2 linked regions of the Stegostoma tigrinum genome follow. The protein of the gene in region 1 purifies or fractionates together with the protein of each later gene. This does not show direct contact. Links are inferred from orthologs where the notes say so. Each region holds a gene or a part of one and is shown on either strand. Other genes may lie near its edges.

Region 1 (10,289 bases):
GACAGATTATCTGTTGAATTATTTAACTGATATTTCAACTTTGATGTGTGCAAAATAGTTTTTTTCCTCTTTAACAATTCTAAATAATTCACTGGCTCTAAAGTACTTTGAAATGTTTTGAGCTTGTGATTGGCTCTACATTATTGTAAGTTATTCCTATCTTCCTAAAGCACTCACTATCATCCACCAAACCCCATAACAACAATTCATATTTATATAATACCCTAAATATAGAAAATGTTTCAAGGTCTATAATACAGCAAAATATTTTTGTCTTCAATCAGACTGTGAGCCATCCCTTAAAATTTGATTGGTTACAATTTTTACCAGCAATCAGAGAAAGTAAATGCTCAAAGAAACAATTCAATTTAATCATACTGTTGTCCTGCACACCTGTTATTCTATGGAATGGGTTTATTTTTTGACACTTTTTTTCATTAATATTAAAATTCCTTTAATCCTCTGCTCCAAAGGATACATCTCTCTTTTCAGGTTCAGTTGTACTGGCTGCTGTGCGCCTTTCGATAGCGTAAAAGGAGGCCACTCTCTGTGTGACAGTGTTGGATCTTTGCAAAAAAATCCTCACTGTCCAGGATGGGCCTGGTTTTCTTTTCTCTGCTGCAAACTATCTTTCACTTCCTTTCCCCTGTCTCCTCTATTCTCACTTCTACTTAAGTGCGGGGAATTTATCTAATCAGCTGACTCTGCTTCATAACTCCCTTTCACTGGATCACTGAGCCGAACTTCCTCTAAATTCCATCTGCCCAACCCTGTACTCTCATGTTTCTTGAGTATCTTTCCTGTCATCCATCATGTACTATCCGAGTACAACTTGTTCATGGACCCTTCCTCCTTCAAATTTCTCCAAATTTCCAAGGAACAGCTGAAAACTTGCCCTCCTTGTCCCCCGTGTCAGCCAATATTATCAATGTTTCCCTGTCTTCATGTGTTGTCTCTGCCCCTGTAAATCTGCCATTACCACTCCTCTCTGAAAAAAAGTCATCCTTTGATAGTAACATTCTTCAAACTACAGCTTCATCTTGACCCTCCGTATCCTCTCCAAAGTCCTTGAATATTTTGTCACCTACCAAACCTGTACCAATGGTTCCCAGAACTTCATGTTTTAATTTGTTCAGTCGGGTTTCTGTCTCACCATAGCGCCAAAATAGCTCTTATCAAAGTTATAAATGACATCCAGTGTGACTGTGACAAAAGTAAATATCACTCCTGATTCTCCTGCAGTCTTTCACAAGGTTGACTATGCCATGCTCCTCCAGAGCCTCTCTACTGTGAGCCAAGTAAGTGGGACTGCTCTCAATCAGTTGCATTCTTATCTATCTTATTGTATCACTTGCAATGGTTTCTCCTTCTTCTGTCATATTTTTATCTCTGGACTCCCCCCACCACCCCCCCAGCCAAAAGAATTTATCCTGACCTTTTTTTGTATGCATGTTGAAAGCACAGAGTAGGTTTTCACAAGTATGCCAACAACAATACAACGTTACCTCACCATTACCTTTTTCACCTTCTCCACAGTTGCTAAACTATCAGACTGCTTTAGCCGACATCCAGCACTGGACAAGCAGAATTTTTTTTCCTATTATGTATTGGTTTGACTGAGGCTATTGAACTTTGTCCCTTCTTTAAAGTTTGCTCTCAAGCTACTGACTGTGTCCCTTTCCCAGTCAACAGTTTGAGACTAAACCAGATTGTGGTCAACATAGTTGACTTAATGGCTGGAGTGCAGTACAGAACAATGCCAATAGTGTTAATGCAATCCCTGTTTGGGGTCTGATAGTTCATGAGTCCTGCCTCCTCATTTGCCCTCCCACATTTGAGAAGTGGTGCCTCTCAAGCTACACATAACTAATTGTCTCACTCTAAGGGAGAGATCCAGTTCAGGTCATTTGTGGACACTGGTTAATTAATTATCCTTCCCCACTGGGTGATTTTCCAACGATATATTTGCCCATTGTTTAGCCCACCTTTCCCAACTTCTGTAAAATCATCTGAATGTGTCAGTCTCAGCTCATCTGCTGATGATAGTCTCATTCAGGTCGTTGCTACCTCTAGAGTTGACTACTCCATTGCTACTGTGGCTTCCATTGTGGCTCCCTCCCACATGCTGCCCTTTATAAACTTAAAGGCATCCAAAACTCTGTTGTCTGTATCTTAACTCACACTAAGTCTCCTTCCTTTACCAGTCTTGTCATCACTGACTCACATCAATTCAGAGTAATGCAATGTTTTGATTTAACAGTTTTATCTTTATTACAAATCCCTTTACAACTTTGTAATTGGCCAGACATTTCCTTATCGTAGAACCCAAAAAGTGCAGAAAGAGGTCTTTCAGCTCATCAAGGCTACACTGACCCTCCAAAGAGCATCCCACCCAGATTCAGCCTCCCACCCTCTTCCCATAATTCTCATTTAGCACAGCCAATCCACCAATGTAACCTGCACGTCCCTGGACTGTAGGAGGAAACCCAGCAGAAACCCACAGGGAGAATGTGCAAACTCCACACAGACAGGTACTCAAGACTGAAATCAAACCCAAATCTCTGGTGCTATGAAGGCAGCAGTACTAACCATTGAGCCACTGTGCTGACCCAAATGTTATGTTGCTTATTATCATATTTTGTTTTTTAATGCCCATATGAAGTGTCTTGGCACATTATATCATGTTAAAGGCACTATATAAACATCAGCTGCGGGAATACTGGCACAGGTATAGGCAATTCAGAACATCCAATATGCCCACGAATAGATTAGATCTTGGCCATCCTTCTACCTCGTTGCCACTTTCCTACTCTGTCTTCATATCTCTTAATGTCATTAGTTTCAGAAACTGATCAACTTCTGTTTTGATCATGCATACTTCCATAACACTCATTCAGAGATTCACCATCCTCTGAATGAAGAAATTGCTGCTGATCTCAATCTTAAATGGCTTACCCTTCATCCGGAGTTTATGTCCCCAAGTTCTTGAGCCACCAGCCAGTGAAGGCATCCATTTACATCCACCCTGTAGAAATTTCATAAATTTTAATAAAATCACCTCTCATTCTTCAAAACATTTGTTGTTGTTGTTTGATTTGTGGAGGCTATGGGGGTGAACTGAATCTTGCCCTTATATAATATTTGTATTTGCACTGTTTCAATAAGAAACAGAAGAGGAACAAAGTCTGAATTTCTCCTCTTTGACTCAGGACTGCTATTGTGACGTTCATATTGACTCCTCCCACATGCTGCCCTCTATAAACCTGAAGACATAGGTTCAGAAATGGAAATTTGAAACAAATCTAAATCCAGCTAAAGTCTAGGAAATTTCAATTTTCAATCTAAAGCATGATCACGTGGGTGCCATTTCCATTCATGTCAGCTATCCAATTTGGTAAGTAGATTTATATCCAAATGCCAATAACCCTCTAGTGAGTACACAAATCTAAGCAACAGCAAAGGACAACTGGTTCCTAATAAGATATAAATGTTGAGACAGATGTATAGATTAATGAGAATGGACAAAACGAGGAACATGAGGGTTTCAGTGAAGATTGTGAGGGCATTGATGAAAGTAGCTGAGAAACGAGAGAAATGGTATTGATGAAAGAGGGAGGAAATGTGGTGAGACAAGTGAAGAAGATGGGCTGGCCAAGAACAAAGAGAAAAGGGAGTCCTAAGCCTGTTGAGAAGATGCAATGAGAGACTTAAACACAGTGAATTGGAATGGGAATGGGTGACTGACAGAGAAAAAAACAGACATGAGTGCTCAAGTACCAAAGTAGGAAGAGCCTAGAAGAGGAAGAAGTATTGTTTTGTAGATTGGTTCTCGGCTGGTTTTAAGTAGCACAGTTGATATTACCAGCTACAGTTTGCAATCAAGAAAATTTAAAACACAAACGCAGTTCCTGAAAGTGATATCAGCCAAGAAACTGAGTGGAACGGGTGACCCAGTTGAAGGGTTTTCATATTTATGATAAAATAGAACTTTTTCTAACATGTGGCTGTAATTTAGAGTAATTGCTTTTACAAAGGGGAGGGAGAAGAAATCCAATGCTAATGTTGCTTTTCTGTTTGCCCATTGTGTTTATCTCTTTTTTCCTAGGTAGTCTCTCAGGATTGAGGGTCACTTTCATGCTTGAATAGTTGGGAAGATGAGTTGCATGCAGGTTTGTGCACTACATCAGGCAGCTTGACCTTTGGTCTGTGCACATTCTCGATGAAGATTCTTGAAGTATCTAACAAAACTTAATACTACTTATCCCAAATTTACTTTGTTTCAATGTTTGAACATTTCAATTCTACATTTCTGGATTTTTTTCTTATTCCTTAACAGATATATTACAGTGTTTTTTTCAGATTTTACAATACTTTTCCACTTTGATTGATCACATGCAGGTACACCATGAGTTGGGAATAATGTTTGACTCTGGGATGCTTTGAGGGCATATGCTGTCCATCTGGGATTATCCAACTCCAAGCAAGCACAAAATAGAGTGGTTGCTTTGGGTGTCTGGTGTCAGGCAAGTGCAGCATATGTCCCATCAAGTGGAGCAGCTTTTGAATTATTTTCAGCTTAAGGCTGGACAAACTGGCTTGGGAGAGGATGCTGCTGTTGGACCTTCTTTCTTACCACCAGTTTTGGAGGACCACATAAAAGGTGTTACTTCTCCAGTCATTGGAGGTGCCTGATGTAAGTTGTTCAAGTCTCCAAACCATTTCGGAGGAGCACAGAGCTGCGCAGCAAACCGTGACCTTTATCTCGAAGGGTCACTGGAGCCGAAACGTTAACTCTGCTTACTCTCCACAGGTACTGCCAGATCTGCTGAGTTTTCCAGCAATTTCTATCTCTGCACCTTTATATTGGATTTCAGATACTGATGTTCAAAACGCTTTTCTTCAGTCAGCTTATGTCTGAGCTGGTAGTGGAACCAGTGATGAACTCAGCAATCTATGCTGGCTTTCATGGAGAAAGCTCCTAATAATCATTCATCCGCATTTTCCAGGATCTTAATTGATTAGTGGGATGGTACTGTGAGGCCCAGTTGAAAGAGAATCTGTTTCGGTGAAATTCGTACTGAGAGGTGTAATTACTGTCCAAACTAAAGAAACCCTCCCACCCCGCAAAGCAATGAGCCTGAAACAGCTGCGATTGGAAAGTTGTGGGTAACTGGGGTGGGCGGAGCAACGTGCGTGCTGGCGTCCCAGGAACGCCGTGACGCACGTCTGTCGTTCCAAACACGACGTGAGGTTTGAGAAGCGGCGGCCTTGGTGGGGGTTGGTGTATGACGTGCTTCGCGGAGCGGGGCCGTGGTCTCCTGGGGAGCGCGGTGATATTATGGGATGTTAGACCTGGAGGAATGGCGCTGGGCGCGTGATTTTGAACAAACACGATCGGTCTCCCGGTGACGAGCGCTGTGTGTCTGGTAACCGGGGCCGCCAGCGCCGCCTCAGGCCCCAGGCGGCCGCGATCCTTCTCCATGCCGCCCGCTTCCAGCTCCGAGCGGCCCGGAACCCGCAGCCGGTGAGTATCCGTCAGCGGCACGGCTATGTTTATGTCAGGGAACGCTGCACCGCTCTGCCTTCTTGGCCCCGACGAAACTGGGGCTGGGCGGCTTCGGAGCACCGGCTGATGGCGGCCGGGCTGGATTGAGAGTGCAGCCCCCTATCTGGACTGAGGCCGGGAGGGTGTGGAGCCCCCGATCTGACTGGGGCCGGGGGCTTCGGTCGGTTTGACGACGACTTTCTGCCTTGTATGAGGTGCCTTCTGTTGAAGTTGTCCGCGGTGTTGTCAGTGGCCTCACTGACTGTTTCCCTCTTTCTAAAAGACTCTCCTCCAGTAATGGCTCTTTGATCGTCCTCTCGCCTTCATCCCAATCCCCCCCCTTATCCCCTTTTCTGTTTCTTTCCCATGATGTCGCCTTAATTTGTTTGAAACTACTTCCACCACCACCGCCCCCCCAGCCACCACTGCCGTCCAGCCGTGCGTTTCGTTTTCTTTTTGCTGTGTTAAACTGTGTTGTTTTTAATATTGTGTAACTTTAATGCATTTCTGAAACTGAAAGGTTCACGTCGCTCTTATAACTCTGGGTTTGTAAAATACATTTGCAATAGTGACTCCTTCGAAGATGACCTACGATCAGATTTTTTTTAAAAAAAGAAACCAAAATAGCTACTGGATCCTGCCTGTATTTGGTCTGAAGCGGTATCTGTAATTTCTGTTTCGCAGCGGTGACTGTTCATCGCGGAGTTTAATCTTGGCTCCTGACTGATCTCCCCAGTTATAAATTTCCCCGGACCCTGGGATCATGATCCCAAAGGGCTTTGTACTGTCAGTGTTCTCAAGAACGGGCAGTATCACAAAGCCCAGGGTCGAATTTTTTTGTTGTTGTGCTGACCTTATACAGGAACCATTTCTTTAAGCCCCGCCAGCGATTTGAACGGGAGCAAGAAGTGCATTTAGATGTTGAAGAACATATCTGAGATTTTGTTTCCAGCAGGTAGATTGCTGATTTGTAAGTTGTTTGTTGTTTGAGGAGGAATGCGCCAGGGCATCAGGCTGAACGTTTGTGGGGTTTGTTCGGCAACTGTGGTATTTCCTGTTAGTTTTTTTTCCGCGGTTTTTTCGTATGATTTTTGTATATCTCCCAGTCTCGCTCAGGCCCTGCCTTTCTGTGGAAATGTGATGACGAGGTGAAAATGGCGGACCTTTCGAAATGCAATCCCTGCCTAATTATACACCCGAACCTAGTCTGAAAAGCCCGAACCGGCTTTGGGCTCTGCCCAGCCTCTCAAACACAAAATGACACATTCTCTCTCTTCACACCCAGATGTCACGCTTGTAACACTTCAGGTTTCTCTGCCAAGCATAGATAGCTCGGTTGCAAAGGCCTGCAGTTCTCCTTTTGAGATCGTTTGGAGAGACGTGGCTCTCTGAAAGATACAGTAAGATATACCCAGATTCCGCCTAACAAAAGATTACGTCTAGAAGTTGTCTAGCCATTTAGTTTACCTGGTCAAAGTACAATGTAAAATCATTCACATGACGTATGTAGGATTTCTAACGGCAAGCATACTTTGCGATATTTCTATTGAGGTTTTTCATCAATAAAGATAATTATCAAATATAAGTCATGCATAAATGTATGTCGCAAAAATCTTCATTCTTTGATCTTTTTGCTCTACTCTGCTGCCGGTTATGTTATTTACAGCGCCCCCTCCCCAATATTAAAAATTAACCAGTTCCGCCCCCTTGTCCTCCCAGAACACGGCTAAGTTGTCATCGTCAGATTCATAACTGTACAAACGCGAACAAGATTCCAGTCAACCTGTTTAGGAATGTTGTTATACACCTCTGGAACAGGTGTGACTTGAACCTGGGCGTCATGGATACTGCATCCTTGACTATCAGCTCTCTGTTCCAGGTTTGGAGGCTGTGATCCTGTTTCTCACTTTGTGTTCACTGTGGGAACGATTGCTCAGCTCCAATTTTTCACCTTTGTAATGTCGCAAAACATCTGACTTGAAGGATGGAGTAGGAAAACTTACGGGAGTTGGAATAAAGTGCTGCTGAGGAGATGTGTTTTAATGGTGAAAAGAAATATAGCAAAAAGCAAGGTAGATAGAATATTGCAAGATAATACAGACACGATGGGCTAAATAGCCTACGTTGTATCATTCTTTTGATCGCTAATGGTGGAATGTAATATAGAAGGGATCATGATGTGGGTAGAAGTTGAAATATCAGCAAGTGCAGACAAGGAAAGAGGGCTGGGGAAGGATGGGAAGCTGGAATTACAAGGAGGACTGAAAAGAAGTTGTGCTTCTGTCTAGTCACCCATTGAGATGCAATTGTTTGTGTGGTAACTTGTTGGCATGTGACTGCTATTTTATCCACAGCAAGCCTTCGCGAACATATGTATGATAAATGATGATTAATTTATCTGTTGGGCTCAAATGGGAGACCACTGACCACAGTGGGAGACGTTGAATTGTTTGGACTGATCAGGGTGTGGTGCGTCAGTTTTTCTAGTGTAGATTTTGCTTTGCTAGAGACTAGTTATGCAGTAAAAAGTTTTTAAACTGAAGTAGAAACTTTTAATAGAAAGTCCTGTGTGAGGCTTGCATACATTCCAATCTCTTGAAAGTAAACAATACATCTTTTTAAAGTTAATGTAAACACCTGCTTGGTCAACTGAGCTGTGTAATGCCTCTGATGTTCGGTGAAAACACTGACAGACCATCGAATGCTAAGGAATATTGCTCAATTTATACAGGGGAGAGGGGGAGGATAGACACTTTACCATTGATTTCAAAGTGTGTACTTGCCAATGCAGAAAATAGGTGAAATATTATTAAGCTTTGGCTGCCTTTTGTCCCTGTTTGTCCATTGACATCCTTGCAATCGAAATGTCTGCACATTTGCTGATAGAAGCAGTGTTAATGAAAAAGGAGTTCATATTTGATGTGGGAAATAGAAAAATCAGAACAACCAAAGGATTTCTTTTCAGCTGGGATTAACAAATGTTGAATAAGTAAACAGAAGGCTTGACAGAATGAATACTATCTCCACAGATTATCCTTTCTTTGATTCTTTCCCATTATGTAACCTCCTTGCTGTGTTGCTAATGGAGAAAATTCAAGTACCGAATAATTTTTGCCCGTCCTGGGAGATAGTTGAACTAAGCTGCAAAATATTTGTGTATTCTCACTGCCATGCAAACCTGTATGTTTGGTTTCTACAGTTTGTGCTTTATTTGGTGACAGCAAGCACTGCAGACTGTTTAACTCTGACTGTTGTAACCTTCCATATTTTTCATACTCATGGAATGTGGATGTTGCATGCAAGCATTGCATGTATTATCCATTACCAGTTGCCCTTGACAAGATAATGGTGAAGCGCTGCAGTGACTGTGGTGTACGTATTCCCAAAGTATAGCTAGGGGAGGAATTTATGGGATTTTGACCTAATCCCAGTTGGGGGGGTGGGAAGCGTGCAATACACTTCAAATTAATGATGTGCATTGCTTGGAAGAGGAAACATGCCAGTGTTGGTTCCCATGCTGCCCATGTCCTGTGTGATAGAGTGCATGGTTTTGGAGGACCATTGTGCATGTTGAATGTGTTACTGCAGCACTTCTAAATGGAAAATACTGCAGCCATTATGGCCTGGTGATGGATGGAATCAGTGTTGAGGCAGTAGATTTGGTCTCTAGCAAATCGGTTGCTTTATCCTGGATGTTGTTGAGCTTTGTGTTGTTGGAGCTGCTTTCATCCAGACAACTGTTCTGAGTTACAAGTTGCAGATCATGCAAAGTATTTAGAGAAACAAAATGAATTATTTGCTGCAGAATTCCTAGTTTCTGACCTGCTCTTGTAATAACACTAGTTGTGGCTGATCCAGTTAAGTTTGTGATCAATGGTATCTCCCCAGGATAATGATGTTTGGGTATATGGCAATAATAATGCCATTGAATATAAAGGGGAGCTGGCCACTTCTTAGCATTTGTAGCACTAAACCAGATAATTATCTAGAGTTGGCTCAGGTTGTGACCTTCCATCTATCCTGATGAATAGTCACAACTGGAAAATTTTTAATCTTGTTTCTTGCTGCTGCCAGATCTTTATTTCTAGCATTTTCTTTTTGTTTCAGTCTTCGATCATATATAGTATTTTGCTTTCAGATAGTTCGCTAGCCCTGTTCTGTGGACCAAGCACAGATTATTGTTGAAACATTATGGCTAATGCTGCACCTGATGCAAAAATGTGTAGAGTTGACACTGATAGAAATAACCAGTAAAATAAGTGCATCTGTTCTACAATAATTACTGTTACAGGCAAAATAATCTGTAGGTTTTCAAAAAAAGAAAAAAACCCTGCTTTTTGAAGGAGCTTCCCACTGGGAGAAGATTCTGGCCTGTCAAGAATTACATTTGATTTTCTTGACAGTCTTGAGTAGGAAAACTCTCAATCAGGTTAGCTAGTAGTGTGTTTATAATCATTTCTCCAAGATTAGGAAAAGCAAAAATTCAGGAACAATCCTTATTGTTCCTGAGACTCATTATTTGCTTTTCCACTCTGGAAAAATATACTAGCTTTGGATGAGGATAAAAATGTATTTGCCTGTGTTTGTCCTCACAGGTGAATTGTCTGCCAGCTTTCATTCTATGGTCACACATGAAGAGAAATTAATGGGGAAGGTGCTTGTGGTTTGCTAACTCCAAATATCCACTAAGTATTCAGCTCCAAGATGTAACACTCAAGCTAAGTTAGGCTGTGCAAAGCCTGGC
Region 2 (10,880 bases), on another chromosome or scaffold:
GTCAGCTGAATATTGGAATCTGATTCTATCAGACAGAGGGGTTCCAGCATGAGATGGGATAGTCTACCCATCTGTAGGAGGTACCAACCCAAATCAGCACACAGAAGGCTCCCACAGCACAGGACAAACTCACTTGCTCTGTAGATCGGAAAGCACAGGTTTCACAATCTCATCATCAGCCTGGTATCTGAAACAGCAGAGAGTGAGAGACGCTGTCTTTTACAACAGTGGGCACAGAAACCGAAACCGCAGAGGGGCACTCAGTTACAACAGTGGGCACAGAAACCGAAACCGCAGAGGGGCACTCAGTTACAACAGTGGGCACAGAAACCGAAACCGCAGAGGGGCACTCAGTAACAACAGTGGGCACAGAAACCGAAACCGCAGAGGGGCACTCAGTTACAACAGTGGGCACAGAAACCGAAACCGCAGAGGGGCACTCAGTTACAACAGTGGGCACAGAAACCGAAACCGCAGAGGGGCACTCAGTTACAACAGTGGGCACAGAAACCGAAACCGCAGAGGGGCACTCAGTTACAACAGTGGACACAGAAACCGAAACCGCAGAGGGGCACTCAGTTACAACAGTGGACACAGAAACCGAAACCGCAGAGGGGCACTCAGTAACAACAGTGGACACAGAAACCGAAACCGCAGAGGGGCACTCAGTAACAACAGTGGACACAGAAACCGAAACCGCAGAGGGGCACTCAGTAACAACAGTGGACACAGAAACCGAAACCGCAGAGGGGCACTCAGTAACAACAGTGGACACAGAAACCGAAACCGCAGAGGGGCACTCAGTAACAACAGTGGACACAGAAACCGAAACCGCAGAGGGGCACTCAGTAACAACAGTGGACACAGAAACCGAAACCGCAGAGGGGCACTCAGTTACAACAGTGGACACAGAAACCGAAACCGCAGAGGGGCACTCAGTTACAACAGTGGACACAGAAACCGAAACCGCAGAGGGGCACTCAGTTACAACAGTGGACACAGAAACCGAAACCGCAGAGGGGCACTCAGTAACAACAGTGGACACAGAAACCGAAACCGCAGAGGGGCACTCAGTAACAACAGTGGACACAGAAACCGAAACCGCAGAGGGGCACTCAGTAACAACAGTGGACACAGAAACCGAAACCGCAGAGGGGCACTCAGTTACAACAGTGGGCACAGAAACCGAAACCGCAGAGGGGCACTCAGTAACAACAGTGGACACAGAAACCGAAACCGCAGAGGGGCACTCAGTTACAACAGTGGGCACAGAAACCGAAACCGCAGAGGGGCACTCAGTTACAACAGTGGGCACAGAAACCGAAACAGAAAGAGAAGGCTGAGTGACAGTAACGGGCATGGAAACACAAGACAACAAAACAGTTACAACAGTGAACAGAAAAACTGAAACAGCTGAGAACGAGAATCATTGTCAGTTATAATAGTGAGCACAGAAACAAAAAGTGAAATAACAGAGAGCTAGACACACTGTTAGTTACAGTCATGAGCACAAAAGAGAGCTCAATGGCTGTCAGCGAGGGACTGTCAGCCAGAACTGAAGAGTTTTTGTTGCCACACAGATAGAGATCAATGGAACAAAATCAAAGCTGCTGGAAAGGCTCAGCAGGTCTGGCAGCACCTGTGGAGGAGAAAACAGAGTTAACGTTTTGGGTCCGGTGACCCTTCCTCAGAACCTGAAACGTTAACTCTGTTTTCGCCTCCACAGATGCTACCAGATCTACTGAACTTTTCCAGCAACTTTGTTTTTGTTCCCGATTTACAGCATCCACAGTTCTTTTGGTTTTTATTTAGAGATCAATGGCAATGTCCAAGTGAATTAGTCCAAATCAAAGGAAAACTAAACACTTACCTCTCAATATCACTCTTCTCAACCAGACACTGGAGGACTGCATCTAAACGATTACGAGCTGTCGAAGCCTCAAGATCTGCAACTCACAGAAACCATGTAAGAGACTAAACTTTGTTACACAAAGGAATAAGTAAACAGGGTACCAAGAGAGTGCAGCGCTGTTGGACGGTCAGCGCTGAGGAAATTTTCCATTGCAACAGAGTCCTCACTTCAAAAAAGGAAGCCTTTCATTAGCTACACAGATTGTCCTGAGCTGGTGACAGTAAGAACAGGGGTCTTTTTATTTCTCTGCCCTCACAAACCTTTCCAAACACTTTCCTGCTGCAGAGCTACTATTTCAGTCCTTGCTCTTGCTCCTAGCCACCGACTAACTCTAGGGGTCTAGAGCTGCCTCCCTTACCTGGCCTGTTCCCCTGTTCTGTCTGTTCTAATGCAGATTTAGCCATCGCTCAGCACCACCACCTGCTGAGTAGAAGCAATGCTGCAGCAGTGAAAAATTCACCACCTCCTCCTTCACAGGAACAGGAGACCAGATTGCCCCTCCTCAAGCCTGCAGCACAGGAACAGCAGAATGCCAGTCAGCCCCCTCCTCGAGCCTGTAGCACAGGAACAGGAGGAGACCAGTCAGCATCCTCCATGCAATTGTCTCAATGAACCAAAAATTGCTGTGCATACCAAGAGAGAGGTCCTGAATTTCCTTCCTCTCATTCTCTCTAACCTCCTCACCGTCTCACGTGGATCGAGCCGGGATTTGGACAGAGTGTCCCTTCTTCTGAACTCTCTGCTCCCCTGCAGAAGAAACAGTTTCACTCTGTCATCCTATTTGAATGTTTAAACCTTATCTTCGGTACTGGAGGGAGACCATACTTGCTGAACTTGAAACACAGAATAAATTCAGGGTGAGGGAGTCATGATGGGGAAGGAAAGGGATAAGGAATGATGAAGAGATAGGAGCCAGCACCGAGAAGGGCAGTTAGTTCAAGCCTACCTGCTTTTTCAGTTTTCACGGTAACTGAAATCATGTTACTGCTGTGGGGCCTCATTCACACGATGGAAATAGGCAAGCAATCGCCACAAAGACCAACAGCACTCAAACAGACCTGTGACAGAGAGAATCAATCCCAACAGCCAGCATTACTGAGTAACAGTGTGAGACAATGGGATTACCATCAACAGAGATACAGTCAGTAACACCGGGCTCTGGGAGGGTGTGTCACTGAGTGTGAGGGAGAGGGATTAACATCAGTATGGATACAGTCAGTAACACAGCATTCTGTGGGAAGAGGGGTTACTGAGTGACTGTGAGGGAGTGGGATGAACAACAGAAGGAATACAGTCAGTTACACAGGGTTCTGGGGGGAAGAGGGGTTACTGAGTGACAGTGTGAGGGAGTGGGATTAACATCAGTAGGGATACAGTCAGTAACACAGGGCGCTGGGGGCGGGGGGAAGAGGGGTTACTGAGTGACAGTGTGAGGGAGAGGGATTAACATCAGTAGGGATACAGTCAGTAACACAGGGCGCTGGGGGGGAGAGGGGTTACTGAGTGACAGTGTGAGGGAGAGGGATTAACATCAGTAGGGATACAGTCAGTAACACAGGGCGCTGGGGGGGAGAGGGGTTACTGAGTGACAGTGTGAGGGAGAGGGATTAACATCAGTAGGGATACAGTCAGTAACACAGGGCGCTGGGGGGGGGGGGAAAGAGGGGTTACTGAGTGACAGTGTGAGGGAGAGGGATTAACATCAGTAGGGATACAGTCAGTAACACAGGGCGCTGGGGGGGAGAGGGGTTACTGAGTGACAGTGTGAGGGAGAGGGATTAACATCAGTAGGGATACAGTCAGTAACACAGGGCGCTGGAGGGGAGAGGGGTTACTGAGTGACAGTGTGAGGGAGAGGGATTAACATCAGTAGGGATACAGTCAGTAACACAGGGCCCTGGGGGGGGGAGAGGGGTTACTGAGTGACAGTGTGAGGGAGAGGGATTAACATCAGTAGGGATACAGCCAGTAACACAGGGTTCTGGGGGTGGAGTGTTGTTAATGAGTGAATCCCCTGACCCCCCAGCTCATCCTCACCTCCCTAACCTGTTCTTCCTCTCACCAATCCCCATCTCAAGTGCCATCTCCACTGCCTACCTCCTAACCTCATCCCCACCCCCTTGACCTGACCATCCTCCCCAGACTGACCTATCCCCTCCCTTCTCCCCACCTACACTCACCTCTGCAGGCTCCATCCCTCCCCCTTTAACTTGTCTGTCTCCTCCACCTATCTTCTCCTCTATCTTCGGTCCACCTCCCCCTCTCTCCCTATGTATTTCAGAACCCTCTCTCCATCTCCCTTTTCTGATGAAGGGTCCAGGCCAGAAATGCCAGCTTTTGCCCTCCTGAGACGCTGCTTGACCTACTGTGTCCATCCAGCCCCACACTTTGTTATCTCACACTCTCCAGCATCTGCACTTCCTATTATCTCGCTCCCAACAGACGTCATGCCCGTCCTCACGCTCTATTGGCTGCCAAACCGTCTGTCAAGCCACTAGTCCCACCTCCTGCCGGCCCCCTATAAGGCCCGCCCCTTGGCGGGGCCGTTAAAGGCGGCGGGAAAATGGAGGATTTGCCGTAGGTTGCTGCTAGTCTTATTCATCGGTTTCCCCCCCCCCCCCGCCTCCGTGGTGGTGATAACGCTGGTAGTTTATTCCCTCCCTTTGACGATAATTATAGTTTTATAGTTTTACATTAATTGTGTTGTCATTTAACACTACCTACGTCAGACTGACCTGAAGCTCCGGCTCCGACGGCCCTCCTTGTTTTTACGTCAATTCTCATCCCATCCTGTCACGCGGTACCGTTCCTGTTTCCTATTGGCTGTAGCCCTGTCCGTCTTGTATCTAGCCCCGCCCTCCACCTGGCGTCCAATGAGATGTGCCCCGCCTCCTCCGTGACCGTTGAAGGCGGCGGGAAAATGGAGGATTCCAAGTGGAGGTGAATCAAAGAGGGTCTGAAGTGTTATACAGCATAGCCCTCGGTTTATAGTATTTAATTAGAGAGAAACAGTTCAAAGTAATTAGCAATTTTCAATGTTACATGATTATTAATGTAGTGACCGCACTATATAATGTACAGATAGAGTGGAGCTGATTCAGAGGTTACCAATCATATATAACGCCATGTGTATAATATTTAATTCGTGTGTAAATTAATCATAGATTATTAGTGTTATATAACGTAATCATCATTCTTAATATAATCACATCACTATAATATAGAGACATTTGGGTTGAAACAGATTCTCAATATTATTATATGCTCATTCTTATATGAATAATATAGCACCATGTATGTGTGTATATATATATGTCTATATATGTATAGGTGTGTGTGTGCGTGTGTATATGTATTTTATATATATATAGGGATATATATATATATATATATATATATACACACTGCACAATTAGAGAGAGAGAGACAGTAGAAGCTGATCAGAGGTTATCAATAATATATAATTAGAGAGAGTAGAAGTTAATCAGAGATTAATAATGTTATGTAACATAATCATGGGTATAAATATAATTGTATGGTATAGGACAGAGTGGGGTTGGATCAGCTTCTCAATAATATTGTATACTCATTCTTGTTCATATCAATAATATAACATCACGTAATACTATACAATTAGAGAGACAGACAGAAGTTAATCAGTCATTGAGTATTGTGTAGCCATCTTCCTTATGTAATGACAACACTATATTGTAGAGACAGTGGAGCTTAATCAGAGGGTAGCAATCATATCATATAACACCATGTATATAATATTTAACTACAAACTGTGACATAGCACAATTAACCAGATATTTTTAATAGTTTATAACCATCACTTAATGTAATTAGACTATTATATACTGTAGAAAAGAGTGGAGGTGAATCAGAGGTTATTAATATTGGGTCAGTTCTCATTGGAGAGAAGGAGGCTACGAAGGGATTTAATAGAGACATACAAGATGATCAGAGGATTAGACAGGGTGGACAGTGAGAGTCTTTTTCCGAGGATGATGACTTCAGCTTATACAAGGGGGCATAGCTACAAATTGAGGGGTGATAGATTTAAGACAGATGTCAGAGGCAGGTTCTTTACTCAGAGAGTGGTAAGGATGTGGAACGCCCTGCCTGCCAATGTAGTTAACTCAGCCACATGAGGGGCATTTAAACAGTCCTTGGATAAGCATATGGATAATGATGGGATAGTGTGGGGGCAGGGGCTTAGATTAGTTCACAGGTCGGCGCAACATCGAGGGCCGAAGGGCCTGTTCTGCGCTGTATTGTTCTATGTTCTCTGTTCTAATATTGTGATCATGTAAGCATTATTCTTCACATAATGAAAGCACTCATCTAGAAATGGAGTGGAGGTGAATCAGAGATTGTCAATAATATATAATCATTCTTAATCATATAATCAATAACATAACACCATGTATATACCATACAGTTAGAGAGAGAGAGATAGCCTAGAAGTTATTCAGAGGTGTAAACAATAGGAAATGCGATTAGTAAGTTTGTAGATGATGCCAAAATTGGAGATGTAGTGGACAGTGAAGAAGGTTACCTCACAGTACAACAGGATCTTGATGAGATAGGCCAGGGAGTGGGAGATGAGTTTAATTTTGACAAATGAGGTGTTGCATTTTGGACAGACAAATCAGAGCAGCACTTATACACTTAATGATAAGGTCCTGGGGAGTGTGCTGAACCAAGAGACCTTGAGGAGCAGGCTCATATTTCCCTGAAGGCGGAGTCGCAGGTAGACAGGTTGGTGGAGAAGGTATTTGGTATGCTTGCCTTTACTCCTTTGAGTAAAGGAGTTGGGAGGGTCAGATTGCGGCTGCACAGGACGTTGGTTAGGGCCACTTTTGGAATGCTGTGTGCAGTTCTGGTCTCCCTGCTATAGGAAAATGTTGTGAAACTTGAGAGGGTTCAGAAAAGATTTACAAGGATGTTGCTACCAGGCTGGGGCTATTTTCCCTGAAGCCTCAGAGGCTTAGGGGGTTACCTTATTGATGTTTATAAAATTCTGAGGGGCATGGATAAGGTGAAAAGGCACTGTCTTGTCACTGGGGTCGGGGAGTCCAAAACTAAATGGCATAGGTTTGAGGTGAGAGAGGAAAGATTGAAAAGGGACTAAAGGAGCAGCTTTTCCAGTCAGAAGGTGGTGCATGTATGGAATAAGCTCCCAAAGAAAGTGGGGGAGGCCGATACAATTACAATATTTAAAAGGCATGATTAGAAAAGGTTAGATGGATATGATCCAAATGCTGGCAAATTGAATTAGATTAATTTAGGATGTCTGGTCAGCATGGACAAATCACACCAAAGGATCTGTTTCCATACTGTACAACTCTGACTCTATGACCAATGAGATAATCTCACAATGTAATACTATGTTTATAAATATATAATCAAAGAGACAGAGTAGAAGTGAGTCAGTGATTATCAATAATATAATCACAAAGTATAACACTGTATAATCTGAGAGTCAGAGTAGGGGTGAATCAGATTATTAATATTAACATATTTAAGACATAATCAGACGGAGATAATCAGGGAGAACTAGTCAGAAACGGACGGTGGGGGAGAGAGAGAGAGAGAGAGAGAGTCAGAGACAACAGACTCAGACACGTGGAGTGACACAGTTTTGGAGTGGTGTGAGAGGGCCATTTCTCTCTCAGTTTCAGGATTGGTATCAGTGATCAGTTTTGGGGTTTCCGTGAACATCACAGTGTTGGTAAATGGTTTTTAAGCTGTCAGTAAAGCCACTGATTCTGATTGTCTTTTTTCCATCTGTCTGACAGCTCTGTGTTTAGTCCAGGAAACCCTTTTGGACAATCTCAGCTCTCCCGCAGTCACTACCACCCATCCTCTCCCCAAAGGATACCTCAGCAGCAGGGCAAAAAGGTGAGACTAGGGTTGGCATTGTTAGGAGCACAGGCCAGGTTGAAGGGGTTAGAATATTGCAAGCTCATCCTTCTGGTTTAATGCTGGCCTTGACTATCAACCAGACTACCGCTCTCTTTGCCAGCCTCAAGTGTAAGAACAGAGACCTGTCTACCTGGGGAAGCACCTGACAACATGCTGCAGAGGAGGGGTACGTACTGAGGAAGTGCCGTGTTTAATGACTCAGTTATGTCTCACCTTCCAGGTAGTGAAACCAGGTCAGTGCCAGCTGCCTAGACCATCGCTTCCAACAGAACCTCCTCTGGCCTCTCAGGATGCTCCGAGACAAACTGACCAGCCGGTGTGCCAGGGTGAAGGGACAGATGCTGGGATAGCTAGCCCCTTGGTGGAGTCTTGGCCATCCACCGAGAGCAGCTCTCTCCTGACGCCTGAAGGAGAGCCAGGAAGCGAGGCAAGGGTAGGGTCCACAGCAGAATCGCAGGAGATGTTCCGTACAGACCAGGGTTGGTCAGGAAGTCCACAGGCTGACCCAGCGGAGAGTTCAATTATCGCAAAGTGAGTGACAACACCACCAACTTCACAGTCAGCCAACCGCTCCTCACTGGCATAATGTGACGAGTCCCAAGATAGAGAGTGGATAGGAGCAAGGATCTGCTCTTTACACTCTCTATCCTCGGACTCGTCAGATGGGCTGGATGGAACCATGCTGTTAGTCGCAATAATTTACACGTTATAGTTTCCAGTTGGCTTTAGCTATGTTAGACAGGTCATCTTTGCTCAGTACTACCCCCACCCCACTCACCCACCCACCCACCCCTTGTGAAGGATTGCAGCTTAATCCTGGCCTGTCCATCTGCATTCAGGTACATCCAGCGATTCCGACATGGCAAACCACTGAGCAGAGAGGAACGGGAGTGTACTACCACTGGAATCGACACTGATAGCAGTGAGTTCTGGTGGCTTAGGAGCTCACCCCCGAGCAGCTCAACACCGACACAGGAGACACACCAGCATCACCCAGGTACAAGAGCACTCCTGTATCAACAGTTGCTTCAGCAAGGATAAAATTATACTGCTCCTCCATGACTACCTCCAATCATTTAGATTCCAGTCTGCAATTCACTCCTGGGTGTCTGTTATTATGAATATAAACCACCCCAAACCCCAAGACTGGATTCCCGTGTGTAACTCACCCCGGGGTATCTGTTATTCTTTATATAAACCAACCCAAAATCCTCAATCGGATTCCAGTCTGTAACTAACTCCCAGATATCTGTTACTCAACACAATCTGCTGGATTATATGCTTTGAAACATGAAGAGGAGGCAGTTGTCAGAATGGCTGTTTAGTGGAAACTTCCTCGTGGTGGGTGTCGTTAGAATTGCTGAAGCCTGGTGAGTTTGAGGCAAAAGGTTCTCTTTGATGCTTCTGTTATTGCCCACAGATATTCGTTCATTGACCATTGAGGAAAGACAATCTGCCTCTCATTCTATTCAGCAATGTGGACACTTGCCTGCGGAAATATCTCTGCCCAGCTTCCCAGGTCTGTCTTTAATGAAGACCGGACTGTCCTCAGGAGTAAGTATTCGTGTGCGTCTGTGCTGTGTTGCCAGGGGTTTCTGAGCATCAGTCCTGCAGCAGGTGGTATCATCCTAGTGATGTCTCTGTCTTTACTGTTGACAGAGATCTGCTCTGTGTGGGACATAGTCCTGCACGCCATCAGTGTGTTTCGTTGCATCTTTGTTATTGAATGAGGTGGGCTGTACAGTACACCTCAGACACACCTGTGTTAGGGAGAGAAGAATTCAGCCAAGCTTCCTGCCCCTGATCGCTGTCCCTGGTTTAGACAGAGAGGGGATCTCCACTGGGGTCTGAAGAGAGATCTATCCCTTCTCGCTGGATGGTTAATATATAGAATAACAGATATACAGGAGTGAATTACAGACGGAATCTAATCAAAGGGTTTGGGATGGTTTATGTATAGAATAACTGATATCCAGAGGGAGTTTTAGCGTGAGATCTGTAGACATTGCTGTATGTCAGCTCGTTTCTGTTAAAGTCTCCAAGATGCATTTTCTTTTCCAGGGTGAACATTTAGAGGTTTCCCAGCTGGAGTCCTTTGATCTGGAGACTGTTCATCTCCAGGAAAGAGCAAATCGCCTGCTGCAGCGCAGGTAAGATGCTGTGTGAGCCCACTGGTAGTGCGTGCGACTGCTGGGTGACTGCCAATCGATACAAAGCATGTCAGAGGGTCCGCAGAAACCAATCCTGTCAAAAAGAGTTCCCCGTCCCAAACCTCTTGTGCCCTGACCTTACTGCCAACCATTCAGACAAACGGGGAGGGGAGATCATGGACTTCCTCGGCGCTAAGGTTGAGAGAATTTGTGCTCTGCACAACAAATCCTTTCTGTCAGTATGGTTTCATTGGGAACAGCTATGGGGACCAATCAGCACCTCACACTCCCGAGTCACTTGAGCAACACCTATTGATCAAGCGTGTGGACTCTACTTGAGCAAATTCTGCTGGTAAAACATGAAACAAAACCTCTACTGCTGCAGTGAGAGTGACGAGAATCCCTGAGGGTGAGTGCAGAGGGAGCGCCGCACTGTCGGCGGGTGAGTGCAGAGAGAGCGCCGTTTTGACTAAGGCATCATGTTTAACTTTAAGTTGATGTGATTACTTCCATCTAATCTCTCACCTCTGATGTATTTCTCTGTTCCCTCCTGTCCAGTGAATCTTCTTGCAGTGGCCTCATTCCTGTCAGCTCTGACGGGGTAGGATCTCCGAATGTCTCTGATCCCGCTGAGGAAGTATCAGCCTGTCCTGTCTCCATCCTGCTGTGTGAGCCTGCTGTTGGTAAGCATCCTACGTTTCGTAAATCCCACTCATTTGTCATTCAAATACTGGAAATGCCCTCAGCACTGACCTTCCGACAGTGCGGCACTCCCTCAGCACGGATCGTTTCTGTTAGTGCGTGTAGTTGATTCTGATTTGCAATGTTATTCTAACTGCATGTGGTAGCCATCGTACTGATTCAGCTGTGCATGGCCCCTTCTGTCC

What was found.
Region 2: the proteins of lin54 (region 1) and lin37 purify together in Homo sapiens (affinity purification with mass spectrometry; 4 studies listed by BioGRID and IntAct, counting the BioPlex papers as one, with this or other methods). This does not show direct contact. The link is inferred for Stegostoma tigrinum from reciprocal best matches to the Homo sapiens genes LIN54 and LIN37.

The regions. Positions count from the first base shown.
Region 1 is NC_081354.1:77,503,688-77,513,976, forward strand, and holds the start of lin54 (protein lin-54 homolog), read left to right. Parts: upstream 1-5,309; 5' UTR 5,310-5,524; intron 5,525-5,731; exon of another isoform or gene 5,732-5,753; intron 5,754-10,289. UniProt on the Homo sapiens protein: Component of the DREAM complex, a multiprotein complex that can both act as a transcription activator or repressor depending on the context. In G0 phase, the complex binds to more than 800 promoters and is required for repression of E2F target genes.
Region 2 is NC_081394.1:563,328-574,207, reverse strand, and holds the start of lin37 (protein lin-37 homolog), read right to left. Parts: upstream 4,724-10,880; 5' UTR 4,648-4,723; exon of another isoform or gene 4,526-4,647; intron 4,490-4,525; coding exon of another isoform or gene 4,476-4,489; exon of another isoform or gene 4,458-4,475; intron 2,971-4,457; 5' UTR 2,914-2,970; coding exon 2,859-2,913; intron 2,660-2,858; exon of another isoform or gene 2,317-2,659; coding exon of another isoform or gene 2,271-2,316; intron 1,947-2,270; coding exon 1,871-1,946; intron 188-1,870; coding exon 134-187; intron 1-133. Other genes in the region: proser3 (proline and serine-rich protein 3), read left to right, coding at 4,791-4,852, 7,717-7,819, 8,064-8,374, 8,683-8,840, 9,264-9,397, 9,905-9,993, 10,552-10,676.